Linked DNA regions of Cricetulus griseus. The protein of the gene in region 1 purifies or fractionates together with the protein of each later gene. This does not show direct contact. Links are inferred from orthologs where the notes say so. Each region holds a gene or a part of one and is shown on either strand. Other genes may lie near its edges.

Evidence for each region.
Region 2: the proteins of Slc30a2 (region 1) and Mettl9 purify together in Homo sapiens (co-immunoprecipitation; 3 studies listed by BioGRID and IntAct, with this or other methods). This does not show direct contact. The link is inferred for Cricetulus griseus from reciprocal best matches to the Homo sapiens genes SLC30A2 and METTL9.

What each region holds. Positions count from the first base shown.
Region 1 is NC_048595.1:18,948,487-18,963,377, reverse strand, and holds the start of Slc30a2 (zinc transporter 2), read left to right. Parts: upstream 1-7,494; coding exon 7,495-7,544; intron 7,545-8,185; coding exon 8,186-8,394; intron 8,395-9,727; coding exon 9,728-9,874; intron 9,875-11,051; coding exon 11,052-11,205; intron 11,206-11,865; coding exon 11,866-12,076; intron 12,077-12,710; coding exon 12,711-12,816; intron 12,817-14,891. Other genes in the region: E3 ubiquitin-protein ligase TRIM63, read left to right, coding at 6,194-6,291.
Region 2 is NC_048596.1:79,617,360-79,632,327, reverse strand, and holds the start of Mettl9 (methyltransferase-like protein 9), read left to right. Parts: upstream 1-6,846; 5' UTR 6,847-6,986; coding exon 6,987-7,151; intron 7,152-14,968. UniProt on the Homo sapiens protein: Protein-histidine N-methyltransferase that specifically catalyzes 1-methylhistidine (pros-methylhistidine) methylation of target proteins.

The DNA.
Region 1 (14,891 bases):
GCTAACAGAGCTGCCCACTTCCCTTCCTTGGTGGGATGGCTGGGTCTCACTCAAAGGCCTGGAAAGGGACAATGTACTGTATTTCAGTGCCCATCCCCAAACAAGGGGAGAGGACTGAGTTTGTGTTATATGTTGTTTTATTAATAAATGCACAACAGGCTGGGCCTGGGGGCAAATGCCCTTTAATCCCAGCACTGCAGAGGCAGTTGTATCTGAGTTCAAGGCCAGCCTGGTCTACATGGAGAGTTCCAGACCAGCCAGGACTACACAGAGAGACTCTGTCTCAAAAATAATAATGAAAAAGAATAAAAAATAAATGCACAGTGTTTTTTTCCATGTAACCAGAAAAGAGGTGTAATTTCATTTAGCTTGAGAGAGAGAAAGAGAGAGAGAGAGAGAGAGAGAGAGAGAGAGAGAGAGAGAGTGTGTGTGTGTTGCTAGCAATGGAATTGAGAACCATGGAAATACTAGATAAAAACTCCACCCTGATCTGCAGGAGGCCCCAGCCCTCCTTTAGCCTGTTTCTGTTTGTTTTTAGGAGAAAATAATTCAGCTTCAGGCAGGTTTTTGTTTGTTTGTTTGTCTGTTTTTTGAGACAGGGCTTCTCTGTGTAGCTTTGGAGTCTATCCTGGCACTCGCTCTGGAGACCAGGTTGGCCTCGAACTCACAGAGATCCGCCTGCCTCTGCCTCCCGAGTGCAGGGATTAAAGGTGTGAGCCACCACTGCCCGGCTTTACAGCTGGATTTTATGGAGGCATTTCCTCAATTGAGGTTCTTTCATTAACTCTAGTTTGTGTCAAGTTAACACACAAAGCCAGTACACCTTGGAAACTTTTTGTGCCAATGCCAGCTTATATCTTCACTCTGCATGGGTCATGACCCTGTCATTTTTACTGTCACACACATGGTTTGCTTTCTTTTTTTTTTTTTTTTTTTTTTTTTTTTAGATTTTTTTATTTATTTATTATGTATACAACATTCTGCTTCCATGTATATCTGCACACCAGAAGAGGACACCAGATCTTATAATGGATGGTTGTGAGCCACCATGTGGTTGCTGGGAATTGAACTCAGGACCTCTGGAAGAACAGTCGGTACTCTTAACCTCTGAGCCATCTCTCCAGCCCCATGGTTTGCTTTCTTAAGTCTTTTCTCTTTGGGGGTGAGGAGTGGGGGAGACATCACAGTGTCTTCAACCTAATTAAGAAAAACAGTTTGGGGGCTAGGAAGGTGGCTCAGACTCACTCCCTGCTGTTGCATGGGACCTGGCTTTGGGTCACAGCACCTACATGGTGACTAACAGCTGTCTCTAACTCCAACTCCAGGGATCTGACACCCTTGTCTGTCTCCAAGGCCACATATATGCATGCAGGCAGAACACACCTACATACCAAACAAAAATAACCAAACTTTGGGGCTGGAGAGATGGCTCAGAGGTTAAGAGCACTGGACTGCTCTTCCTAGAGGTCCTGAGTTCAATTCCCAGCAACCCCATGGTGGCTCACATCCATCCATTATGAGATCTGGTGCCCTCTTCTGGTGTGCAGGCAAATATGCAGACAGAACACTGCATATATGTAATAAAAATAAGTAAATAAAAATTTAAAAAATAACCAAATTTTTAATAAAGGAAAGAAAAGTATCTTTACAACTGAGGCCTTTTATTTTATTTTCATCTCTCAGGCCATGACTTCACAGGGAATGGACGCCTGTTTGCTCTTATAACGCACTCTGTGGGCTGGCACTTCAGTGGGACCCAGGGACCTTTCTGTTTGGTTTGTTTTCCTTTCCCTGTTTCAGAAAGTCATTTCAGATCATACTCAGTAGACACATTCATTCTCCCAGGATCTGGCCCCCAACTTGCTTATTCACAAGCAAGGGACACTAGGTAGCACTAGGGACAGTGTCGACTCTGCTGGCTTTGCCATGGTGACATTTATGGGGTGTTCCTCTTTGACCCATACATGTTTGATGTCTGCAGTGTAACTTTTCTTGTAAAGTCTTGCACTTGTCATTTAGAAGCTCAGTGAGCGCTGTTAGGGCCTCCCTTGTTTCTCACTGGGAGATATATATTTTTGAAGATTTTATTTATTTATTATGCATACAGTCTTCTGCCTGCTGGCCAGCAGAGGGCACCAGATCTCATTCAAGATGGCTGTGAGCCTCCATGAGGTTGCCAGGAATTGAACTCAGGACCTTTGGAAGAAGAATCAGTGCTCTTAACCGCTGGGCCGTTTCTCCAGCCCCTCACTGGGAGATATTTTGTCTGAAAAGAAAACAAAAGGGAAGGACAGGACAGCTCCTGGGTATGGTGGAGGAGAAAGCTGATTGTAGATAAAAGGGAGAGCAGAGCCAGAGGCAGGGACATCTGGGAGAGTCCAGTGTGGACACGACTGTCTGAGCTGGGCCGTGTGAGGAAGAATGGGGAAGGGTGAGGGGAGACAGGAACCAGGAGCAGCAGCAGCAGGCCAGAGGTCCAAAATAGGGCTGGTAACCAAAATGTCTGGATTATACAGGGAAAAGCCTCTGAGGGAAGGAAGGGTGGAAAGTTCAGGGTAGGAGATGGGGTATGGGAGCTGTATCCTGGGAGAATGTGGCAGCCAGGTCTGTTTTGATAAGTTAAATAGACACCTCAGCCATCTGTCCTGGGTCTGAAACTTAACATTGTCAAATTACTGGAAGATGGCAACTCTGGCCAAAAGCACTTAACTTTCTTACTTTTTTACATTTTATTCACGTGTTTTTGTGGGGGGGGGGGGAGAGGAAACCCATGCCTCAGCACACATGTGGAGGCCAGAGGAAAACTTACAAGGAATCTGTTGTCTCCTTCGACCATGTGGGTACCAGGGATGGAACTCAGGCCATCAGGTTTGGGGACTCAGCTTTATCTGACGAGTCTGCTTTACCGTCCTATTTTCAAGTATTCTCCTGCAGAAGACTTTAAAGGTTTTCAAGGCCAGAAAGAGAGAGGCGGGGCATAGTGACCTTTGATCCCAGCACTGAAGTCACTGGGGCAGGTGGATTGAGAGTTCAAGCCAGCCTGGGATACACAGGGAGATAAATAATTAGACAATGAAGACAGACGCACCCACCGCCTGGAAATCACATCACACAACTGGCTCACAATATGTTTTCTCATCACCACTCCAACTTCCTGACTAGAGAGCAGGCATTATAGTCCCTAATCTTGCCAACCTGATGAGGCTAGTTTTATTGGGTTTACTTACAGGAATGTGGGTGAAAGGTTACTTCCAGGTGCAGAAATGACTGACAGCTGCATCGCTAAAATCCTTCTTCGGCATGGGGACAGGTCAACAACGTTGGAAGCCTGGAACACACAGCACGGCATTCCGTCCTTCCGAGGCAGTTGAGTCGGGTGAGCTTCTTTCTGGCAGGTCAGCTGATCACTTTTAGGCAGATCTCTTATTTAAGAGCCCTCGCTACTTATATATGCTTGTGGAAGGAGGGAACTGAAGTCCTCTCCCTGGCCCCCACCAGACAGGGTTTCTTTGTGTCACCCTGGATGTCCTAGCACTCACTCTGTAGACCAGGCTGGCCTTGAACTCACAGAGATCCCCCTGCCTCTGCCTCCCTTGTGCTGGGATTAAAGGTGTGGGAAAGCAGTAAGTTCTTTTAACCATTGACTCCTTTGACTCTCCAGCACCCTTGTTGAAGTTTTAAATGCAATTTTTTGTTAGGTGATCATGTGTGTGAGCTTGCACCTGCACACGCAAGTGCACATGCATGAGTGTGTGTTTTGGAATTGAACCCAGGGCCCGAGGAATGCTAGCCAATCGCTCTGTCACTGAGCTACATCCTCAGCACAAACTCTCGCAAATCAATTAAAATTGTTTCTGAGCTGGGCGTTGGTGGCTCACACCTTTAATGCCAGCACTTGGGAGGCAGAGGCAGGCAGATGTCTGAGTTCCAGGCCAGCCTGGTCTACAAAGCTAAACAGAAACCCTGTCTCGAAAAACAAAAACAAAAAAATCCTTTCGGAGGATACAGGGAAAGGCCTACTTCAAATGGGATTTCTCCAGATAAACTCTTCGAACACTAGATGTACACACCAGGCAAGAAATTAATTTTGCAGTGGATCACAGCAGGTTGTCCACAAATGCAATTCAATCTACTTGTAGTTCTTGGTCTTCAGGACAATCCTCTTTCTCTTTTGATAACATGCACAAGCTCCAGGCTTTATCTTCTCACCGCTTCCCTTTTTGGGCACCATAGAGTTGCTAAGAACCCAGGGAAATGCTAACTTAACACTTATGAATTCATCTCAAAGGATATAGATAAGGGGCAGAGGGCGGGGCTTATAGGGAGTGGTGGGGATACTCTATGCCCTCTCCAGGCACAGCAGTTTCCAGGAACCTTTCTGTGTTTGGCTTTAGGAAGCTTCTGGAACTCTGTCCTTTTGTATTTTTTGTATTGGAGATGTCCTCCAATACAAACACAATTAAATCAGAACCCTGAGGATTTGATTGGATGAAAAGAGTGAGACCTGAAGTTATCAGCTGGGTGGGGACATCCAGCAAAGCCTGTCTGTGCACTTTTCTCATCCCAGATACCAGGCAGGGCCCCTCTGGTTGGTGAGGCCAGAGATTTTTTTTTTTTTTGACACCAGATTTTGATTTTGATTTTGTTTTGTTTTTAATATTTTATAAATAGTTCTTACTTATTTTCTATGAAATGTACTGGGAACTCAAAAAGTCTGCTAAACCCACCAACATGAGTTTCCACAGAGAATTCTTTTATGATCAGCTCCTAGATAGAAGGCAGGAAAGATCAGAATTTCTGTGGCTTCAGGTGAGAGGGCAAGGTAGGAGGCTCAGTAGCCCAAGGTCACCCTCAGCAAATTCAAGATCAACCTGGGCTGCCTTGATTTACTCTTTTTGCTTGTTTTTCAAGACAGGGTTTCTGTGTAGGTTTGGAGGTTGTCCTGGAACTCTTTTTGAAGACCAGGCTGGCCTTGAACTCACAGAGATCTGCCTGCCTCTGCCTCCCGAGTGCTGGGCATGAGCCACCACCACCCGGCCAAACTGTCTATGATCTACCCTAAGAGAGATTCTAGTTTCTTCTGCCTTCCTTAGGAAGGGATAGGTTGGGTGGGTATGGGGCATTAGACTGCAATCCCTCCCACCACTCAGGATGCTGAAACAGAGTCACAAGTTCCAAGCCAGGCTGGGTTATAGGCATCATCAGAAATATGGATTTAAAACAAATCTTCTGAGTTGGGCAGTGGTGGCGCATGCCTTTAATCCCAGCACTCAGGAGGCAGAGGCAGGTGAATCTCTGTGAGTTTGAGGCTAGTCGGGTCTACAGAGTGAGTTCCAGGCTGTTATACAGGGAAAGCCTGTCTCAAAAAACCAAAATCAAAACATTGATAATTATGATATGCTTTGAATTGAGGAGAAAATGAGTGACGTGATAGACTGTCACAATTTTTCCACCTTACAACTCCACAGTGATCTGTGGTTGTCCTATAGAAACGCCACCAAACAGCACTTAATCCATGCTTATAGGACCAGGGCTTGAAGTAGGACTTTGTGCATAGTGGGAGACTCCTCTACCACTTAGCTCACACCTCTGCTCTTTTTTACTTTGAGACAGGGTCCAGTAAATTGCCCAGCTAGCCTCAAACTTGGGACCCTTCTGCCCAAGGCTCCTTAATTCCTGTGATTACAGGCATGTGTAACCATGTCGGGCTGTCCTATTTGTTTCAGCCTAATTTCAAAGATGTTTAAGTGCTCACCTAGGTTCTCCGTGCTAAGCTGGGGAGACCACTGGAGATCGTAGAAGAAAAGAGTCTCACTTCCAGATCAGCTAAATTACAGGCCCATACATTATGCCCAGAAATACTTGTTCCGTTACCCAATCCTCTGAGATTTGGTGTGGGTTTATTGTTGTGTGACAGGGCCTACAAGTCTGAAGTACCCCAGGATAGCCTTGAACTTGCTATATAGACAAAGATAACCTTGAACTTGTGATAGCGGTGCCCTTCCATCTCTCTCTGCAGAGGTGGAATCACCAGCTTGTGTGGTGCTATGGATGGAACTCAGGCTTCATGCATGTAAGTCAAGCTCAGCCCTAGTCCATCCTGCTCAGTCCTGCTCCCCTTGCCATGAGGCAAAGTCTCTCATGCTAGCCTGGGCTACATAGTATGACCACCGTTCTTCCTTCTCTTCCCTAGTGGGCACTGGGGATAGGATCCAAGGCTTTGTGCATGAACAGTCTATCAACAAGCTGCACCCCAAATATACCTTCCAAGCTGTGGTCCTGAAGACCTAGCACATGAAGTGATTGAGTAGGGAGGTCGCCAACTATATAAGGAGATACCTATCAGAGGCCAGCACCGGGGGCGCCATAGGCCCCAAACCCCAGAAAATGTGGACTATGGACTTTATGTGGGGCATCAGTTTGGCCCTACGGCCATCTCCCAGAAATTTGTTGGGTTTCTGGGGTGCGGTTAATGAGACAGGACACTGCTCTTTGTAGAGGTGGAGAGCCGGCCACTCGGATCCCTTTTTTTTTTTTTTTTTTTGGTTTTTTCGAGACAGGGTTTCTCTGTGGCTTTGGAGGCTGTCCTGGAACTAGCTCTTGTAGACCAGGCTGGTCTCGAACTCACAGAGAAACGCCTGCCTTTGCCTCTGGAGTGCTGGGATTAAAGGCGTGCGCCACCACCGCCCCGCCCGGATCCTAATCAGAGAGCAAGGAGGAGGAATGGTGCCTTTCAAAGGGAAACTTGGATCTGTAACTCCAGCAGTACTATGATGGGGTACTGCCCCCTCCCCAGAGGCCGAGTGCACCCCAGCCCGCCCGAGTGTCACTCCCTACAAAAGAAAATGATCAAGCTTCCGGGAAGTCTCTCTTCCTAGCTAGAAGCCCGACCCTAACCTCAGGAGTCCCTTTGGTTCTGTCAGTAGTCACATCCCTGCCCTAAGGCACCTCTATCTCTGTCTCTGTCTCTGTCTCTGTGTCTGTCTGTCTGTCTCTCTCTACATAACAGGTTTTCTCTACGTAACAAAGCTCTAGCTGTCCTGGAATTTACTATGCAGACAAGGCTGGTCTCGAACTCGCTTGCCTCTGCCTCCTCTCCGGAGTGCTGGGATTAAAGGGTGAGATGCCCGTTAAGAGTGGATGTTCTGGTCACCCAGTCCTAATTTAGCAACTTTGGGCAGCTCTTAGCAGGCTCTTTGCTCCGGGCAAAGGCCCTTAAGCTCTCGGTGTGAGGCCGCGGGCTGCTTCAGGCTCCGGGCGGCGGGGGAGCAGTGCTGGGGGCCGAGCCGCGGTTCCCTTTGCAGCCGGCCACCCTTCCCCCTCCCCGCGGGCTTTTGCACACGACGCGCGGCGGGCGGCTTCACACGGGGCGAGGGCCGGGGATAAAGCGGGCGGGCGCGGGGCGCAGAGGCGAGACCGAGCAGAGGAAGGTGAGAGCGCGCCGAGCTGACATCGTCTGGAGCGCAACTTCGAGGACGCACGGCGAGAGGCGGCATGCCGTCCTTGGACAAGCGGAACCTGTTGGAGAGCAGGAGCGGGGCGCGGTAAATTCAAGCCCCGAGGGGCGGGAATCTGGGCGACATCACAGGCACCTCCTCTTTGGCCATTCTGGCTGTGGTTGGTCCGGCCGGGGGCTTGAACCTGGGATCCCGCCAGAGGGATGGGGTGAGGCAAGGGAAAGAGGAAATTGGCTGTGGCCTCGTAGCCCCGGGGATCACCTGTCTCAGCTGGCCAAGCACACAGATCCTGAACGCTGCCTGCGGGTGCGCTCCAGTGGGACACAGTCGGGTGCCTGTTACCCCGCCTTCACTCCAGCACTTTGATCCCAAGCAGCCCTGAGGTGGGGAGGCCCTGTGCCCTCGGGTGCGCTGCGCTACGTTGCATGCTGCTGTCTTGAGCCAGAACTCTGCTCTTTGTCTGCGCTCGACTGGACGGCCTGCCCTTTGGCTAGTTCGTAAAGACTCTCCAGGCCTGGGAAGGGGTGGAGGAGGGGGGGACGGCTTAGAACAAGGTCCCAAGACTCACTTCCCCAGCATCCCCTGTAACATTGGCTTCTTACCTTGATCACCTGCCAGGCTCGGTGCTTAACTTGCTTTGGAAACACCGGACCAGCAATACTCCCAGAGACTGGCTCTGTGCTCCCACCTCCAAACGCTGAGCGTTTTCTCTCCTTCCCCACCTCCAGGTCATTCTTAGGATCACATTGGAAGAGTGAGGCTGCTTGGACCCCTCCTGTGGACCTGCCCGCTGTTGAGCTGGCTGTCCAGAGCAACCATTATTGCCATGCCCAGAAGGATTCCTGTAGTCACCCTGACTCCAAGAGGCAGAAGGCCCGGCGCAAACTCTATCTGGCCTCTGCCATCTGCCTGATGTTCATGATCGGAGAAATCATCGGTAAGGCCTTGTGTGTGAATTAAATAAAGTTGGTTCTTGCATGGGCTGAATGCTCTCATTAATGCTACTGACACTAATCCCTGTTTTATTGATTAGTTTTTCTTTCTTTCTTTTTCTATTTTTCTTTTCTTTTTTTTTCTTTTTCTTTTTTTTTTTTTTTTTTTTTTTTTTTTTTTTTTTTTTTTTTTGGTTTTTCGAGACAGGGTTTCTCTGTGTAGCTTTGGAGCCTATCCTGGCACTCACGCTCTAGAGACCAGGCTGGCCTCGAACTCACAGAGATCTGCCTGCCTCTGCCTCCCAAGTGCTGGGATTAAAGGCGTGCACCACCAAAGGCCGGCCTCTTTCTTTTTTTTAAGGCAGGGTCTCACTAGCCTTGGCTAGCCTGGAACTCTGCTTCCAGAGTGATGGAATTAAAGGTGTGTGACACCACATCCATTAATTTTTATTTGTTTATTGGCTTTTCGAGACTGGGTTTCTCTGCATATCTATGGCTGTTCTAACTCCTGCTGTAGATCTGCCTGCCTCTGCTTCCCAAGTGCTGGGATTAAAGGCGTGTACCACCATCACTGGGCTAATTTTTTTTAAATCAATCAGTTGGTTACAGCTCTGCAGTTAAGAGCACTGGCTGCTCCTCCGGAGGACTTAGGCTTGATTCCCAGCACCTACATGGTGGCTCACAATCATCTGTCACTCTGGTCCCAGGGAATCGGCTGTCCTCTTGTGGCTTGTGTGGGTACCAGGCATATGATGCACACCCATATGTGTAGGTAAAACACACTTAAATTAATAATGAAAATAATATAAGAGTACTTACTGAGCTCCTACTTTGCTTCCCTAGCTCTAATTGAACTTGATCTTCTTTACTTTTTTTTACAAACTCCTTTTTGAATTACAAACAAGATTGAATTACATGACAATCCCAGTTCCCTTTTCCCTCCCTTTCTCCCCTACAACCCCTCCAACTAAAACCCTACCTATCGCATATCCTTTAGAATTTTTTGTTGCTCCCCCCTGCCCAGAAAGGGTTTCTTTGTATTGCTTTGTAGGCTCTCCTGAAACTTGCTCTGGAGACCAGGGTGGCCTTGAACTCACAGAGATCCACCTGCCTCTGCCTCCCGAGTGCTAGGATTAAAGGCGTGCACCACTACTGCCTGAACTTGATTTTTGCACTCACCCTGTAAGAAAATGTCAACTCTTTAGCTCAAATTGAACAACTGATTGGTGCAGAGACCTTGAGCCCACTGTGTCTTCCCTTGTGGTCTCCCTGCTGTGCAGAGTTGGGGGGCGGTTAACTCTTTCAGGGGGAACTTCACCCTGGCTGTCACTTTTGCAGGTGGGTACCTGGCACACAGCCTGGCCATTATGACTGACGCAGCTCACCTGCTCACCGATTTTGCCAGCATGCTCATTAGCCTCTTCTCCCTGTGGATGTCTTCCCGACCGGCCACCAAGACCATGAATTTCGGCTGGCAACGAGCTGGTAAGGATCCTTGTGGCCACAGATGGGGTAATCAAGAGATAGATAGGGTTTTAGCATTTCTAGTAGTCTAGGCTGGCCTTGAATGTACTAAGAAGTAACCAAGGCTGCCCTTGAAATTCCTGATCCTCTTGTCTCCACCTCCCAAGCCCTGGAATTTCAGGTATGCCACACACAGCTAGTTTGGGGGGATTTTTGTTTTTGTTTTTGTTTTGTTATTTATTTATTTTACAGGATCTTGATACATAGTCCAGACTGGCCTCTAACTCACTGTAATAGCCCAGTCTGGCTTCAAACTCAGTAACTCTCCTGTCACAGCCTCCCAAGGACTGAAATTAAGGCCAGGAGTTAGGCCAAAAAGGCAGCTTCTATGGAAAAGGGAGTGTCTGCCTTGGCCTCCATCCTCTGGGAACTCCCAATCTGATGGGACAGACTTGGTGCCAGTTATCTGGGAGCTACTTGTTAATGGAGAAGCAAAGTTCATGTTAGAAAGTAGGGGCTCAGAACAAAGGACAACAGCACTAACATTGCCTGTCACTATGGGTCAGCTATGGGTAGGGAAAGGTCAGTAAACAGTCCCTTAAGCTGTTAGTTCCCTTCCTGGTGGCACTGCCACTTTCCCGTAGGGAGAGATGGCTCAGCAGTTAGCACGTGTCTTCTTGGCTGTAACTAGCTCCAGCTCTGGGGAATTTGGGCCCTCTTCTGTTACCTTCATTAATTAGGTAGTGACCTTACCTTTATTTGGGCAGGAAAATTAGGCATATATATGCCCTTCATCCCAACACAAGGGTGGTGGAGGCAGGTGAATCTCGAGTTCAAGGCTAGCCTGATTTACATAGTGAGACCACAAGAAACATAAAAAGGAGAGTATTAAACTCAGGCAGTCCTCTTGTCTTAGCAGCCCACATTCTAGGATTAGAGATGTCCACCACCATGCTGGTTAGAATATACACACATACATACATACATACCAGTTTCTTTCCACATACAGCAAACAGGATTGAGCTGGATGGTTCTAGATAGGAGTTCTCATATATGAGTTGGCAGGAAGAGGCATGTCTTCAGCAAACACCAAAAACATACTGACTTTTCTGCAGGGAGGGGCTAACATGGAGGGAGTAGGCCTTCCTACCCTTAGGGCCCAGGCTAATGTTCTTTTGGTTGGGCTCTTCTTATCTAGAGATCCTTGGAGCCTTGGTGTCTGTACTGTCCATCTGGGTGGTGACTGGGGTGCTGGTGTACCTGGCTGTGCAGCGCTTGATTTCTGGAGACTATGAGATCAAAGGGGATACCATGTTGATCACGTCGGGCTGCGCGGTGGCTGTAAACATCATGTAAGTATGGCCCGGTTCCCTATAAGTGACCCCCACTCCCAGGGAACGGAGTTCATGCCTCCCTTCCCGCACTGAATCTCACTCACGGCCTGAACTCTGGCACATGGTATACATTGGTCCTGCTTTAAATGGGACATGGGAGGTTATAGACCCCCACCCCACCCCACCATCTCAACTCTCCTCCCCTCTCATAGTACATGTCCAGGAGAATAACTTCTGAGGCTATCCACAGCAAAGGGATGCATCTGGTTCATGCTGGACCAAAGGCCAAGTCAGGTTGACATGGCTGAAACTGGTCCCAGTAAAAGAGAGGGGGCTGGTTAGAAAGAACATATGTTTGGGCCTTCTGTCTCCTCCGCTGGCTTGTCTCAGGTTCCCCTCCTGTGACATGATGGGATGAACCAGATGACTTCCTCATTGCCCCCTTGCTCTGAAATTCAACTCTGGGATTTTGTGCCCAGTCAGCCTTCCATTGTGGGCAGAACTCTTTGCCCTATGGCTATAAGCCAAGGCTGCAGACTAGATTCTTGATCCTAAGAGGATCGCTGTGTGCTGGGGGCTTCAGAATTTTACCTTCAGGGAGGCCAGCCCTAATGGGTAGACTGTGCCTAGCTGACATGAAACCTTTGCTACCTCATTGAACTCTGTCTGTTTCCATAGAATGGGGTTGACCCTTCATCAATCTGGACATGGGCACAGCCATGGACAGGGGCAAAGCCATGGACATGAACACAGCCATGGTGACCAAAGCCATGAAGACAGCCAACAGCAACAGGAGAACCCCAGTGTCCGAGCAGCCTTCATCCATGTGATTGGGGACCTTCTGCAGAGTTTGGGTGTCCTGGTAGCTGCCTACATTATATATTTCAAGGTCAGATCTGGGTACAAAGAGGGAGGTGGGGCAGTACCCAGGGCTTCTCTGCACAGGGCTTTGTCCCCATGCTAGGCCCCCTCCAGCTTAGGATGAGAGGGTAGAAAGAGGGAAGGGATGTTTATTTAATACTTTCCAAGTGTTGTTGGCACCTTTTACTTCTACAAGAAGCCTGAAAGGTAGGTGATTGTGCTATATGCCATTCAGAAAGGTTCTGTTACTTGTACAGTTTCACAGAAGCCGGATTTAAACCCATGACTGTGTTGCTGAAGCCGGGCATTGCCTATCACATAGAGATAATGAGTTGTAAAATGAGCCATGAGTGTGGCTGAGGCTGTGTGATGAATGGATTACTTGGTCCCATCGAACCTCAGTTTCCCCATCTATAAAATGGGAATGGTGAATCAAATGCCCACAGTCCTTTTTAGTTTCGCCTGTGTCTCATCTTTTTAGGAAGAGATGTGTCCTGAGGTCATCTGGATGGAGAATAGAGTAGAAAATTGGAAAAGACAGGCCAGAGCAAGTCCCGTGCTCACCCTGAAAAGAGAGACCCTTCCTGATACTGTACTGGTAGGGAAAAATATAGACCCAAGTGGATGCTGGTGAGCCCCATGTCTGTCTGTTTTTCCTGCAGCCTGAGTATAAGTACGTGGATCCCATCTGCACTTTCCTCTTCTCCGTGCTGGTCCTGGGGACAACGTTAACCATCCTAAGAGATGTGACCTTGGTTCTCATGGAAGGTAACTAGGCCTTCGGGCTTATGGATGGGGGTGGGGTGTGTGCAGATGTCTGTGTTCATTTGTTGTGTGGAAACCCGAGGTTGATAGTGGAGTGTCTCCTTCACCCTAAGTTTTCCTTTTTGGGGGGTGGTTTCGAGTCAGGGTTTCTCTGTGTAACAGCTCTGACTGTCTTGGAACTAGCCCTGTAGACCAGGCTGTCTCTAACTCTCCCCAGTGCTGGGATTAAAGGGGTGCATAAATAAATGTATGCCTGCATGGCAGAATAGGGCCTCATTATAGACAGTTGTGAGCCACCACATGGTTGTGGGAATTGAACTCAGGACCTTTGAAGAGCAGTCAGTGCTCTTAACCTCTGAGTCATCTCTCCAGGTCCACCCCCACCCCCACCCCACCTCACCCTGCCCGCCCCCCAAGGTTTGTCTGTGTAGCCCTGGCTGTCCTGAAACTCAGCTCTGTAGACCAGGCTGGCCTTGAACTCAGAGAGATTCCACCTGCCTCTGCTGTCATTAAAGACATGTGCTACCACTACCCAGCTAGCCCTTCTTGTTTTTTGTAATAAGTAAGATCTCTTACTGAACTTAGAGCTGTAGGCTGGCCAGAAAGCTACCTGAGTCTCCTTGTCCTCCACCTCCCACCCAACTCTAGGGTTACTGGCGAGGACAAGTGGCCTTTTTTTTTGTTTTTGTTTTTCTCATGGTTGCTGGAAACCTGAACTCATTTAACCCACTGAGCCCTCTCCCCAGATCTGGGACTCTCTAATTAGACTAAGCTGGCTGGCCAACCAGTCCCAAGGCATCTGCCCATCTCTGCCTTTCCTGTCTGGGATTACAAGTGTGCACTAACGTGTGTGCATGGGTACATGCGTGTTTAGTTCTGGGGTATCTAACAGGCCTCTAGCACCGTTAGCAGCTGAAGTATCTCCCCAGCCTGACTTTGGGGTTCTCTCTCAGCCTGAGGCTCACCAAGTCTAATCTACCTTGGTGCAGATGTTTGGAGAACCACTGCATTAGGGTGCGAGCCCGTGTCTGGGACCTTTAACGGACATAGGTCCTCAGAGCTCTGAGCTGATCAGATAAAGGTGTGCCAATTCCTAGACAGGTTCCAGCCAGCGCTTGCCCTCCCCCTAGGCCCAGGGCTGCCTCCTCCCTTGGAGTGTGTGTTGTCCCTGGCTGGTCACATGGCCTTGGTAACACCTGGAGCCCCACCCCTGCCCTCATCATCAGGTGACTTTTCTCAGGAAGATAAGGATTTGGTTCTAGTGTTGGGTTGTTTTTGTTTTTTGTTTGGGGGAGGGACCAGGTTTGAAATAGGTCTCTTTATGTAGCCCTAGCTAGCCTGGAACTCAAGACCAGGTTGGCCTCAAAGTCTTGCCTCCCAAGTGGTGGGTTAAAAGCATGGACCACCACATCTAAGAACTAGGAACTTTTTTTAAATTTATTTTTGAGACAGGGTCTCACTATGAAGACCAGACTGACACCAAATTCACAGAGAACTGCCTGCCTCTACCTTCCTAGTGCTAGGATCAAAGGGTGCTGGGAACTGAACCTTGATCCTTTGGAAGAGCAGCAAGTGCTCCCAAACTCGGAGCCGTCTCTCTAATCCCCTGTTGCTTTTTGTTGTTGCTTTTTTAAAATTTATTTATTAGGTATACAGTGTTCTGCCTGCATGTATTGCCTGCAGGCCATAAGAGGGCACCTGATCTCATTATAGATGGTTGAGAGTCACCATGTGGTTTCTGGGAATTGAGCTCAGGACCTCTGGAAGAGCAGCCAGTGCTCTTAACCTCTGAGCCATCTCTCTAATCCCTTGTTGTTTGAGATGGCCTTGGCCTCCTCAGTGTTGGAAGTGCAGGTGTGCACCATCGTAGTTGCTGAGTGAACCCACACCAGCTCAGTTCTTTCCCACAGGTCTCAGGGCCCATACCCTCCCTGTTCCTGCCTCAGCTGGTGAATGATGCCTGGAACTACCACTCTAATCCACAGGCCTAGCTCACACTTTAGGCCTTGGCTTAGGCCCAAGCCATGGCTTTCTAAAGGGTCAGGGACAGTTGGAAGAGAGTGGGGTACTAGCCTGGG
Region 2 (14,968 bases), on another chromosome or scaffold:
TACACAGTCAGACACTATTCAAAAACCAACAGCTGGGGATATAGCTCAGTGGTAGAGTACTTTCTTAGTATGTGCAAGGCTCTGGATTTAACCTCCAGCATTGCCAAAGGAAAAAGTCCCAGAAGTAGTCTTACACAATACGGTGTAAGAATATGTGGAAAACTGAGTGATATGGAAGTTAAATTGAAATAGTAAATCTCCTGAAGTTTCTATGGTTCTCATTTGACACAAGTTGTATCACCATCAGAATGAATTTATTTGTGACCCATCAAATTGAAGCCCTTCATATCATGGAGAAGCCATCTTTATAAGGGTAACTTGGGTAGCACAATATACATATAGTAGAACACAGCATTTTACTGATCCATTTGGCATGACCTGAAATTTACCTGAGTATTGTTGATAAATATCTTAGTGGACTCTTCTTGTAGGTGGCTAAGTTGAAAGTGATGGCAGCATATCCCTGGGACTGCTGAAAGGCCTTGTCCAAGTATAGGGGGGTTGATTTCAGATGCTTCAATAAAAGTCATCATTTGATTGCTGATTGACTGTAGGACATGGTGCTAACCTTTATAGTTTTCTTCAAAATTCTATGCCTATGATTGCTCACATTCTAAAAGGTTCTGAGAACTCCCCCTCCATTTCTGTTTCTGTAGTCATTCAGGGTGCACCTAAAGCACAGCAGGAACTTGGGCAACTTGGTAGCTGAGAGGATGTCAAAAGGAAGGGCACAAAACCACACTTCCTTAGCGTGGCTTGTCCTGAAGAGCCCTGCTTCCTACTCCCAGTTAGACTGTGTTTTTGTTCCTAAGGCTTTCCAACAATATACAATTCAATTTTAGTACTCAGCATTTTGTAATTACCCACTCATTTCATGGTTGCCAGTTGGGTCCACCTCCACACTATACATAAAGCTTGAGGGATGTGAATTGCTATGCTTGTTTCGAGTTCTAGCTTTCTAGTGCAGGGCCTGGCATGCTGGTGTGCTCAGCAAATATTACTGAGCATGTGCAAGTTTCCTTTTTTTCTTGTCCTTCTACTAACATTGCTGGCATAAACTGAGATAGGTATGAGATTGTCATTTTGGGGAAGGGGCTATGTCAGTTCAGAATGTTCTTCAAATAGGTGAAGCATCATGCCTGCTATAGAGGCAAAAAGATGAGCCAGGTGGGAAAAGTTATATAAATCAGAGAGGCAGGAGACTTTCTTTTTCTTTTTCTTTCCTACTTTCCCTCCCTCCCTCCCTCCTTTCCTTCCTTCTTTCCTTTCTTCCTTTCTCCTTTCCTTTCTTCCCCTGCTTTTTTTTTTCTGAGACAGGTTTTCTCTGTAGCTTTGGAGGCTGTTTGGAACTTGCTCAGTAGACCAGGCTGGCCTCAAACTCACAGAGATCTGCCCACCTCTGCCTCCCCAGTGCTGGGATTAAAGGCGCGCACCACCACTGCCCGGCCTAAGGCAGGAGACTTTCTTACTAAAGAGACAAGCATCTCTGAGAAGTGGATAACTTGATTTTGATGTCTGAATTTGTGATTTTGTTTGAACATTTCCTGGTTTTGAATTTTGTATTCCTTATCCTCTGCTCACATCTTCATTCCCTGAGGATAAAATCTCATGAGATTAGACATTACAACATTTTTCTCATTGTTCTGACAAAATACATCAGGGATCATTTCTATAGTTCGTTACTAGAAACTGTGTAAGGGAGGGAAGGTTTATTTTGAGTCATGGTTTCAGTCCATCATGGCAGAAAAGGCATGTGGTATAAGCATGAGGCAATGATTGGTTGTTCACATTGTGGCTGACTAGGAAGCAGAGAGCTAGGCATAAATTAGGGCTGGGCTCTAACCTTAAGAGGAGCTAGCCAAGTCCCATCTCAGAGGTTTCATAGTCATCATTATCCAACCAACCTGTAGTGGCATCTTGCTTTACCAGTGAACTTGCAGTCATGGCCACATCCTATGGGTGTGGCTTCAGGTGTGCAGATATAACCCCTTATAAGGAAGAGGAGGGGCTGGCTTGCTCTTTTGGGTTGTGGTGAGAGCATTGGAAGGGCAGAGACTGCATCTTCTGGAGCAGGAAGACCAAGGTGGTTATTTACTATTATTTGGGTAAGTGCCATCCTAATACCTGTTTATCATTTATCTTGGGTCGGGTGAACTCATTTAAACCTATCTTCACCAACCCCTACCATTAATAGTATCATCAAGCGGAGGACAAGCATTGAAAACACTATCACAACTTCGAGAACATTCCAGACACTGTAGTTAAAAGAAATGATCATTCTGGGTTTTAAGAAAATATTTTCTGGAGAGACATGAATCATGTTAGGATAAGCATAATTATGAGGGTGTTGTTTTATAGTTGATAGTGATTTCAAATTATCTAGTTATCAAAAATTATAAAATTGTTCAGCTGGGTGTAAAGAAAGGGCTGCTGAGAAAAGGTTGGTTCATCCAAGTTAAAGAGAATAGAGTGAGTGCTTGCTAGGGGTTGAAGTACTACAATAAGCCTTTTATTTGGAAGAGACAGACATGGAGAGGTCGTGATTTGCCTTAGATTACACAAGCTAGACTTCCATACCACGCGGTGTCTCGGGTGCGGTTGCTAAGGTGGTACAACTCCCAGGTGAGCAGTCCTGGGAGGGTCTCCAGTGAAGTATACTGCATGATTTGTGTTTGCTACCATAGGTCTTCAGGTCTTTAGACTGCTATTTTGTTTTAAATTAAATTTTGTGTGTATAGGTGTTTTGTCTGCATGCATGTGTAGTACTCTGTATCTGCCTGGTGCTGGCTGAGGTCAGAAGATGGTGTCAGATTCCCTGGAAATGGAGTTACAGATGTTTGTGAGCCACCATGTGGGTGCTGGGAATCAAACCCATGTCTTCTGGAAGAGCTGCAAATGCTTTTAACCACTGAGCCCAGACAGTTTTGTTTAAAACAAAACAGAAACACAAAAAAACCCTGTTTTTAGTCTCACCTTAAGTTTGAATTTATCTGAGATCAGAATGATTCCACTGCAAATGACTGAAGTTTCTAGAAAAAAATAACCTTTCACACTTACTACTTCTAATAAAAAAGGTTGAATACCATGTTAGTCATTGTCCCATTCTTGTGACAAGAGAATTAAGGAAGTTAATAGAGGAAAAGGTTTATTTTAATCCATGGACACTTAGCTTGTTGTTTTGTGGTAAGTGCACAATGATAGGGAGTATGGAGAGCAAAATTGCTAACCTAATGAGAGCCAGGGAGAGAGGTTGGAGAGGGGGAGAAAAAGGGAGAGAGAGAAAGGGAAGAGTGAGTGAGGGAGGGAGGAAGAGAGAAAGAGAAGAAAAGGAGAGACATGCACACACACATACAAACACTCACATACAAGCATATACTACTGGCCTAACTTCCTTCCAGGACCCATTTCTAAAAGGTTCTACTGCCTCCCAGTAGCACCACAGGCTGGTGAAGGACACTTTAGCACGTGGACTTTAGGGAGATATTTAAGATCTGAACCATAAGCCGGGTGGTGGTAGCACATGACTCTAATTCTAGCACTTGGGAAGCAGATACAGGTAGATTTCAGAGTTTGAGGCCAGCCTGGTCTACAGTGTGAGTTCCAGGACAGCCAGGGTTACATAGAGAAACCCTGTCTTAACAACAAGATTTTGGGCCAAACATACCTTTCCCTGAAGGTGTACCAAATATTATTAAGAAGCTTAAAAACAGCCGGGCATTGGTGGCGTATGCCTTTAATCCCAGAACTCGTGAGGCAGAGGCAGGCAGATCTCTGTGAGTTTGAAGCCAGGCTGGTCTACAGATCGAGTTCCAGGACAACCTCCAAAGCAATACAGAGAAACCCTGTCTCAAAAAAACAAAACAAAACAAAACAAAACAAAAAAAACCAACCGCTTAAAAAACATTTGTCAATGGGCTGGAGAGATGCCTTTGTAGGTAAAGTGACTTCTGCACAAGATGAGGACCTGAATTCAGATTCCCAACATTGATAGTATGGTAGTGAATGTGTGTATATAAACCTACTCTGTGTGTGTGGGGGGGGGCGAGGATGGGGGATGAATTAGGCAGATCGCTGGAGCTGGCTGGACAGCCTGATATATCTAATTCATGTGTGCTGGGTTCAATGACAGACCTTGTCTCAAAAAAAAAAAAAAAAAAAAAAAAAAAAAAAGGTGGAGAGTGATAGCAGAGGTCACCTGAAGTCAACTTCAGGCTTCCACATGCACACACATATATCTGCACACACAAAAATCTGACAAAACAAAACATTCAATTACAAGGGTCTTTTTACATCATTAGCTCCTCATAGAGGCTACAGTGGTTCTATGTAAATCCAAGTCTCTTTCTCTCTGTGGTATTTCTTCACATTGTACTTTGAAATTGAAAAGCAAATGTGAAGCTAGGATCACAGCACCTGCTTGTGATCCCTTTGTTTGTGAGGCATAAGTAGGATGATTGTGAGTTCAAGGCCAGCTTAGCCTATATAACAAGAACTGATAAAAAGGAGAGGAGGGCTAGAGGGAGAAGGGGAAAGGGTCGGGGAGGTAAGGGAAGAGTTGGGGGAAGGGACTATTGTTTAAGAAACAAGCCCCTTGCCTGGATATTTGGAACGTAATCCAGCCACAGTTTCTGGTGATAGAACAGAAACCCAGGCTAGACACTTGAGGTGAGCAAGCACAAGATAGCAGGTATGTGACTTTTGAATATCACTGATTACATTTCAAAGCCACATTGGAAAGGATATTGGATCATAATTTGTTTTTTGCTTTTGTATTAACCATGTCTCTTCCTATTCCCATTATGAATATCTGAGGTTTTAATGTACAGCAGTGACATCCTAGTAAGGGGCCGTCCCAGAAGGCAATCTGAACTTCTGCTTAGAATATTTACTCTTGCAGCTTTCCTTCCTCATGATTTGTAATTCGAGAGGCTGAGAAGAGAGACGGCAAGGCTTCTTGGATGGATAAAACAACCAGAAGCTGGGATACCACCTTCTATGAGAAGGTTTGCTACCAAATTTTTAAAATTATGCTGTGCTTTGCTTTCTCCCTGTGCTTCCTAAATGTAAATAACACCTACATGAGCAGTCTGTGACTATAGAATAGTTTGAATGTGAGGGTAATTCATTTTTTTCTAGGTGAGCTGCTCAGACATAAAGCAAAATTTCTCTTAGCTAGGTTTCTCTTAGCTGTCATATGACCCTAAATTCTTCAGATCTTATTAGATGTATCCTTGCTTCTTCTTTACATGACACATTTTGAGGTCTTAGAGCTGTGGTTAGGCAAGCTCAATCTGTTAGGGCATGGTTTTCTGTATCATTTGTCTTTAGAAATGAAGTATGCCTTGTTTATACACTCCTGTTGCTTGCATCTCCCCTTTACCTAAAAAAGATGAACACTGTTTTGGTATAGAAGAACTTTATTGGAATTCAAAGAGGTGGTGCAATACAATTATTTGCACTCACTACTGTAGTTCCTTTTAAGTATGCTGAACTCGGGACTCCTAGAAGGTTGAGCTCAATTTAGGAAAGCATAATCTTATGGTTTTACACTTAACAGGGAGATGTCTGGGAATAAACTAGAATGAGAAATTACAACAAAGTATACCTCATATTTATCCTTGAATTTTTGTTGTTGTTGTCGTAGTCTATGCACATTTGGTAATGAAATACCCTTATTAAGGAAAGGTGACAAGTAGAACTTCTTTAGCACCTAACATGTTTGTGGGTAAGAAATGGTTTCTTTCTCATCTGTGGATCACTATTTCATAAATGAAAACGTCTTCAGTGTATCATGAAATTAACGAAAAGAAGAATTTGTTTTAAGCTAAAATTAATGCACAGAATCTCTGGCACTGTCTAATGAAAATCATGTTTCAACAAACCTAGGAAGGTGTGAGTAGCAGACCTAGGAAATAATGTCACTCTCCTAGTTGAGTAGCAGCAGGAAGTTGAGACACAGGAACTTCTCAGTTTGGAAACATTGTTAGGTTTCTTCCGGCAATAAATGATCAAGGAAACATCCGGCTAACTCCTCCCAGACCTGAGCTCGCTTTAAGAGTGACAGGTCCAGCTTCTGTTAGCCCAAGGAAATCTGACAGGGGCTAACTTGTGGCTTTCGGTGTTGAACATGGTGTTATTTTCCATTATGTTTCGTTGGGTGCTCCAGCAGCATCAACTTGCAACAATGACAGAGCTTTTATACTCACCAGGGCTTCACGAAAGGAAACGTGTGACAGCAGCTCCCCAGTTTGGGAATGCTGGGGCCGGGAGCAGCGGCGGGATTCTTTCCCTCTAGATTCTCTGTGCTTTAACAGTTGTGAATTCCCATCTGGGGCCGGTGGCTTTTGGAACCGGGAGTCAGGCTCTCCGGCCCCAGATGGAAATTATTAACAGTCAAGACCTTAACAAGAAGGGCAACGCTAGTCTATCCGATGGACCTGGGTCTAGGAGTGTCTGAGTTCCCTTTTTCCTGGAGTCAATCTGAACGATTAGGTCAAATTCCCGCCAGGGTGTGGTCGAGGGGCCTACCGGCAACTACTACGGCAAGGGAAGACCGGAAGTCCTGCAGGCCCCACCTCGGAGTGGCGAGACTCTAGAAGTCTCCCCAGATATTCCGCCATTATGCACCCAGGCGGCCGCCACGGGGAACGTGCGGAAAGGGAGTCTTTCTCCCGCCTCCCCGGCCGGGCCGCCTCCGTTCATTGGGTAGGGAGAACGCCCCTCCTGCATTTGTACGTGCTCCGGGTGGAAACCGGAGCTGGAGGCGTTGGCGTTCCGGACCGGGAAGGGCCGCGGGGGACTGGAGAAGGCCGCGCGCCCGCCGCTCCTCCCACCCCCCGCCTCGGCCCCGAAGGGGGCTGCACGGGCGACTTGGCGGCGATGGCTCGAGCTCGGGCGGCGACGGCGGTGGCTGGAGGCGGCGGCTCCTCCTCCTCCTCCTGGGCCTGGGCCCGGCGGTGATCCGAGCTGGCGGCCGCGGCCCCCCGATGAGACTGTTGGCGGGCTGGCTGTGCCTGAGCCTGGCGTCCGTGTGGCTGGCGCGGAGGATGTGGACGCTGCGGAGCCCGCTCTCCCGCTCCCTGTACGTGAACATGACGAGCGGCCCCGGCGGGCCAGCGGCGTCCGCGGGCGGCGGGAAGGACACGCACCAGGTACTGGGCCGCAGCCCTGCGGAGCGGGGGCGTGGCGCTCGGCCTTCCCGCGCTCGGCTGGGCCATTGTGCGGGGCGGCGCGCGCGGGCCTCGACCCCGGCCTCTCTCAAACTTTTCCCGGCCCGGGCGCTGGCTCCACGGAGCCTTTTGTTCAGCGTCGCGGGCAGGGGACCGCCTCCGCTGCCCGGCTCCCCAGGCCCAGCATGGGCGCCCCGGAACCCTGCATTGTTCCCAGGCTCCCGGCAGCGTCCGCGCCCGGCCTCAGAATCCGAGTAACTTCGGGGTGGGCCACCCAGCTGGCACCGGGGCCCGAGCAGAGAACAGCCCCCACCATCTCCCGGGCCAGCCTTCCTCTCTCCCGAGGAACAAAACCGAAAGCCGGTCCCTCTTTTTGTCTAGCCGAATCTCTGAACATACAAAGGGTTATAAAGCAATTAACTGGCCTCATGAACCATTCGGCTGACATTTTGCCCTAAGTGCTTAAAAAAAAAAAATGTGTTTGACAGGTCTGGGCTCCCAGCCTAGGAACCCTCTTCCTCTATGCCTATGAGACGTGTCCTTTAAACTTGGGTTTAGTTAGCTGATCAGAAAGGTTGGGATGAGGAGGAGGATGCAGGTTTTAAAGGGAAGAGGTATTTAAAGTCAGAACTGTGCAGCTGTGAATTCTTGTTGTAGTTGATGGGTTTTGAGTCATGGGATTCTACCGGTTGGATGGTCTTTTCATGAGCTGTTTGTACCACTTAAGAAGGATGCGTGGATCAGCTGTGGAATTAAAGAGGGTGGTATTTCAGATTTGACCGTAAGTAGTTTGCGGGTAACCTTGCAGTCACTGAAAAGAGGCCTTTGAATTTAGACAAACTTTGGGCTTCTAAAAGCCAGAGTTTAGTACATATTGATTTTTATAGAGCGAAGTAAGGAATTATTCCTCGTGTCATTTTGGACCTTACCTTTTCATGTATAAAAGTAATATTAAGTTTTTATTTCCTAATTATTGGGATGCATTTTTTTTTTATGATGTTAGTATGGAACTCAGATCCCGGAAACTATTCCACTGTTGGTCGATAATCAGACTCCTTTTTCTCTTTTGGAAGAATCGTAGATTTATGTTAAAAAAAAAAAATCCCTAGTGATTGTGGTGTTTTAGATGACCACTCGTGGTATTGTTAAGAGTATGTAAACTTAGTATACAATCTTAATTATCGCCATGGGCTATTTTATGCTGGCTCAGTGTCATAGAAGTACTACACTGTTAATTGTACAGGCAACAGAATGCCTCTTGTCCGTGTGGAACAAGGAATTGGAAATGACATTTTTAGCAAGGAGTAGGTAGAAAAAAAAAAGATTATTCTCTTTGATGAAAAATTATGGCTCAGTCTCCCAATTGTTGGTAACACTTGTGATTACTGCAGTGACTTGATTTATGTGCTCATAAAAAAGGTGCTTATGGGAGCTAAGTAGTTAAGAGATTGTGTTGTTCAGTTCCCAGCACCCAAGTCAGACACAACTCTGTAACTCCAGCAGGATTGGGTACCTCTGGATCCAACTGGATTGGACACACACACACACACACACACACACACACACACACACACACACACACACACACAATCTAAAATTTTTTTCAAATATTGTACTTATTTTAAAAACTAAAATTGGTTTCTGTAGAGCTCAGGAAGAGTGATAGCAGTGGACACTGTCTCCATGTTTCCAGTTGAGAGCATTTTCTGATTGCATACGTTCATTTATTTTTGTGGTGCCAAGGATCAAACCCAGGATAGGCAACCACTGAGTCACATCCATAGTCCTTGTGTATTTATGTATTTAACTTTGAGCCAGGGCCTTGTAGCTCTGGCTGTCCTAGTACTCCTATGTAATCCAGGCTGGCTTTGAACTCAAGGCTGTCTTTCTGCCTCAGCTCCAGAATGCTAGAATTACAGGTGTTCAGCATCATGTCCGGCTTGCCCTTTGGGTTTTGTTTGTTTTGTTTTGTGTGCCACCCCTACCTGGCCATCCTTAGTGCTTTGAGGGAGGGTCTGCCAGTTTAGGATGAACTGAAAGTTCAGGGTGTCTTCAGAGTCACAACCCTCCTACCTTGGCCTCTTGGGTACTGGGATTATTGTAAGTGTGCACCACTAAACCCTGCCAGACGCTATTTTTGAGGTGAATGCATTTGTGTTATAAAAAGAAATGTCAAGATGAAATGACCAGGAGGAAAGTGTGTGTGCCCAGAAGCCACCATGAGCTGACAAGAGTGAGAGGCTGGCCTTTCTGTATCCTTGCAGACTGCATGGTTCCTTTCTTTTATATTCCAGAATCCTGGTTTGCTGCATAGGTTTGTTGCTTGTGAAGTAACTTTAATGGTTTCCCCCCTTCAAATTAATAGTTTTATAGAGGCTTTCTGGTGTTCATTTGGGTGTGTGGGTTCCATGACCAGCCACATCTGGTTCTTTTGGAGTTGCTTGAAAGAAGAGTTACAGGCTAAACCATACTTAGCACAGGTTTTCTTGGTGGTGTTTTATGAATGATTTATGGTGCAGACTTCTTTGGTTAAAAGAGAGATCTGGAGTAAAGTTTACTCATTAAAAAATGCAGTTTAGTTGTTAGAGCCTGAAGATGCAAGGCTCTGTTGGGCTTAGCTTGAAAACTAAGTGGCTTGTTTCAGTGTACTAGCTTCAGAACTGGATTATGTTTTACTTTGGCAAGAAGCAAGGGATTTCTGAAGAAGGGACATGATAAGCAGGCCAAACTGGTCTCATTGACTTGGGTAGCCTGTGAAATAAGAATAGTCTCGTGTTTTTAAATGGTTATCAATACTATTGTAACATGAGAATTTCTCATATGAAATTCAAATGGTAGAGTCTTCAAATTAAGTTTTATTGAAACAAAGCCACCACATTGGTTCAGCTATGAACTAGGGTGTGTCAGGGTGAAGAAGTAATATTTCTCTGGCCTATTAAAAGTATATATCTTTAAAAGTCTGTTTCCCTCCTCAGTTGTCCACCTTCGTTAATCAACAGTATGGTATTCTCAATCCCAGGATGGAAGGATGGACCCTCTGAAGGAGAAATAGAGAGTAGCAAGAACTAGATGTCAGTCATCATTGTCAGTACACTCAGAACACAGAACGAAAACAACAAAAACCTTTGAATGTAGTCTTTTTGGTGCATCCTACCTGGTGCTTAGAGTTAAAGAACTATTACGGAGCTATTGAAACTTGAAAGGCTCCTCAAGGCACTTGTAACTAGATCCTTGGTAATAACAGTCATCCACAGCCTCTCAATTGATGAATTGAAAGGTTGTTATGAAACTTGTTGGTTCCAAACTATGGCGGTTTCTTCAGGTGAAAAACTTCTGTTTGCTTTTCACATATAACATTTAATGTCTGGAATTAGAGGTCACTTAAAATTATAAGTTTCATATAAACCTGGTACTTATTATTATTTTTACCTTCTTATATAAGCTCAGAACTGCTGTGCCAGCCTCTACAACAGAGGCAGGATAGCATTGGAATATATATTTACAAATGAAAAAGTACTTGAATGTTACAGCCACGGTCAGATGTGCTAAAGGAGAGATTAGTTTCCTGTCTCTATTTTTCAGTTACCTTTTGGAGGTTGGCAGAGGTCAGGCATGAGTTCCATGCTTCAGGGTGCCAGCCAGGTAGCCGGGAGACTGTGGTGAATTGGTGTCTCTGTTCTGCCTTCCAGTGTGGAAGCCTTTGCTGTCGAATACTAAGGACTCCAGAGAAGGTTTCTTTCCTGTTTGCACCCTGTGCTAAAGCCCTTAAACAAGTGCTTGCCTCAGTTTCATGGACCATCAAGATCACTTCCTTCCCTGAATATGCCAAGGGTCATTATGTTCCCCTTCAAAAGTGCCCTAGAGGACCCCATAATCTCTGCTAAAAAGTCTGTTGTTTGGATCATCAGAAGTTTTGTTAAAATTTTAGGATTATAAAACACTAGTCTCGAGAGAGTATTTGGAATGAGGACATTTATTAAGTCAAGGCTAAAGCAACTTAATCTAATCTGTATAAATGGCTCTCCACTATGAATATGAGGACACCTTTCATTGTGTGCATTGAAATTGTTACCAGAATCTAAGGTTTATGCTGCTGGATGCCCTATAGAAAACCTGCAGATAGGACAAGTTTTGGCCAGTACTGAGGAGAGAGAAATTCTTGTTAGACTTGGCCTTGCCAAGTGCTATAATTTATGGAATAGATGTACCAGAAAACCAGCAGATATGCATGTGTATATTTAATTATGGGCCTAAATTACCAGAATTGGGTGCTAAGTCTTTTTCCTGTAGGGTTCATGGGCCAGCGCTATTGGGGGTAGCTTTTTTCACTCATTGTTGATATATCTTGGAGGAATCCTAATTCCTAGAACCCCATTACATATCTCAAGTAAAGAGATACTGACTTGTTACAAATTTCTAGCAAAATGGTGAGCGATTTATGGATTTACTCCAGAGCTGGCTTTTATTTGAGACTGATTGCATTGCATTGTAGAATCTGGGAATGGAATTTCTGAGTCCTTAACGATTGTAGTTCATGGCCTTTTTCTGATCACCTTTCTAATTGGAAAGACTGTTTATTCATTAAATTCAAGGGACCCATTTATTTTGCAAATGATTTGTGTGTCCAGACCGGTAGTGTGGCCTTTCCTTGAACTACCCCCCACCCCTCCAGCCAGCCTTTTCCTTCTGACATAAGAACATTTAATAGGCTTTCATTTTGTACCTAGCACCTTTAAGTGAGTTATGCTTTATAATCCTTATGACAGCTCTTCTTCATAGGCAGCACCACTCCCACTTGACAGATTCAAGAGACTTGGGAGAGATCAGAGTCAGTTGTTGGGTAGAGTTGGGTTTTGAATCCAGCTTTGCCTCAGTAAAAGGCCCAAGTGTTTCCCATACTTCATATAGCTCCTTTTAGGAAACCATGTATTCTCTGAAGGCTGTGTGAAAATGGGCTTGCCTTCTTAATAGGAAACTGCATGGACCCGAGTGGGCCTTTGTGAAGGCACTATGGTTGAAGATTTTGTGGTTTATGAGTTAGACAGTGGTAGAACTGCTCAGTTTGACATGCTTTGGAAAAACTTCCAGGTCTCCAGGTTGCCATTACCTTTCCTCACCTTGGCTGTATGTTCAGAGGTTCCTGCAACCCCATCCCCTAGGTTTTATAATTTGCTGTAATGATTCCCGGATTTAGGCTTAATGGATCGAATCATTGGCCATAGATGGCCAGCTTCAGTCTAGTGTTTTTTCTGTTCTTGGGGATGTAGGATAGGGTCAAAAGTTCCAGCTGTCTAGTCATAACTTTTCCTCCTTCCAGTTTTGGGAAATCCTCTTATTTATGAACAAAACATAATTCTTTTTAATTTTTTAAAGACTTACTATTTTTATTCTATGTGTATGAGTGTCTTGCCTGCATGCATGTCTGGGTACTATGTGCATGCCTAGTTCCCAAGGAGACCAAAAGAGATTATTAGATCCCCTGTAGCTATTACAGAATGTTGTCAACCACCTTGTGGGTTCTGGGAATTAAGCCTTGTTTCTCTGGAAGAGCAAGCAGTAGGTCTCTCCAGTCACCAAAAGACATTCTCCTCCCCCAACCCCAGGGTTTCTCTGTGGCTTTGGAGGCTGTCATGGAACTAGCTTTTGTAGAGCAGGTTGGTCTCAAACTCACAGAGATCCGCCTGCCTCTGCCTCCCAAGTGCTGGGATTAAAGGCGTGGGCACCACTGCCCAGCACCAAAAAACATCCTTATCACCATGAAGATTTCTCAGATATTTTAGGAGTTCTGTACTAGGAATATGGGGGAAAGAGTGAATATTTATTTTTATTATGTCACACTATATAGAGTCAGTAAGCTGTGTTTTATAATTTTCAAGTTCTATTGGTATGCTAAATTCTGTTGTCTTTTGAAAGAAAAGACTATTCATTGTAAAGCATGTGTTTTTTGTGAAAATTCCAAAAAGTAATTTTAGAGAAACTTTAAACCGTGTCCCTGAGCCTTGACAATCAGATGTGGTTTCATAGAAAGATTGTATTTCTTTCACTCTAAAAGTGACTCATCAACCAAGGTTATACAAATATTAAGAAACGTTCACGTGCTGAATGAAGTTTTTATTTTGTGTGTGTGTGTGAGTGTATGTGTATGGTCAGGTGCATAGTTGTGGAGGCTAGAGGAGGACATTGGGTATATTCCTCTATCACTCTCTGCCTTATTCTCTTGAAACAGGTGGGGCTCTCATAGAACCTCAAGCTCATGGTTTTGGCTAGGCTGCCTGGCTTTTTATGTATTTCAACTCAGGGCCTCATGTTGGTACAGCAATTACTGAGCCATCTCCCCAGCTCATGAAGAAGTTTGAAAGACAGTAAGACATCATGTCTCATTATTTGATTTAGTAACATTGTTAGAAACACCACCATGCTATTGTCACCCACCCAATTTGGCTCTTTATTGTTTGTCTAGTTATTATTGTCCATGCAGTCCTGTGCAAGTAATGAAAATATTGTTAGTATAGCTTTGCAAAGGTATTTAGTTAACATAGCCTACTGTGCTTGGCATCAGTGGGTTGGTAGGATTTCAAAGTTTACTTGATTAATAAGCTCACAGACCATTTAATAAGTGTAGTATTTTCTTGCCCACTGCACCTTTGTCTCTGTAGCCTTTGAGGAGCATGCATTCAAAGAACTTTACCTGCTGGAAAGTGCCCATGAGTCTTTAGGCAGCTACCCAGTGCTGTGAGCTCTATAGAGCTCTCATTTAAGCCTGGTTGTTTGGAGAGCAGTGACTGCAGGGGACCACCATCTGTGTGCAGTAGCTTCTCACTAATTGTTTCTTGTTGGCTTCTGAGCAAGGTTTGCTTATCGAGGGCTTTGTTGGTTGGAACCCAGATCATAATCTCATTGTTTCTTGTTTGTTTTGGTTTCAGATTTTATTTTCCCTCCTAGGATTCAAGTTTCCAAGACCAATGAGTCCCTCCTGTAATTGAGTAGCCATCTTAGATCACAGTTAAGCCAAGGTAGTTAGGAAACACTACTGGCTAAATCCAGTTCTCATATAGGTTCTCAAGAAGTGGCAGTTGCTCCTTGGAGGGCATTTTGTGCATTGGGGTGGTGCTACTCCCATCTGATATGTAAAGGTAGTCTGTAACAAAGGGTTCCCAAGCCGAAGTGTCGGTACCAAGATTGAGAAACGCTGGCCCATAGGAATATACTGTCCAGACTGGATTGTTTTTTCTTCAGACTTGTCCAGACCAGCTTCATTGGCGAATAGCCCTGTTTATTTTCAAGCAGTACTGGATAGAGTGAAGCAAGAACTCTTTTTAAAAATGCACTTGGCATACAGTCACAGGAATAGGATCTAGAAGCAGCTGAAAGCACTCTGGGACTCTAGACTTCCTTCTGTTCAAAAGATAGGAAGTTTAACACACATGAAGTAGCTCATGCCTGTAATTCAGAGCTTGGAAGGCTGAGGCAGGACTGTTGCTTTTAGTCTGAGCTACATAGTAAGCTCCAGTCAACCCCTGCTACAGTGTAAGGCACTGTTCAAAAAACAAAACAAAAATTATGTGGTGTAATTGCAACATAAAGATTTGCCAGGTGTCTGGCACCCATGGGTGCTCACTGTCTCTTCCATGTGTGCTTGTGTGTGATAATGCAGTTTTGTGGTAGGTCAGTAAGTAGATAATTCTTAACCATTGTTTGCAAAGTTAGGGTTAAGTAAGGCTTGTAGAAACCCTGGAGTTTGAGCAACTGACAACCCAATGACAGGATGTCTCTGTGGTTATCCTTGTTTCCTTTACAAG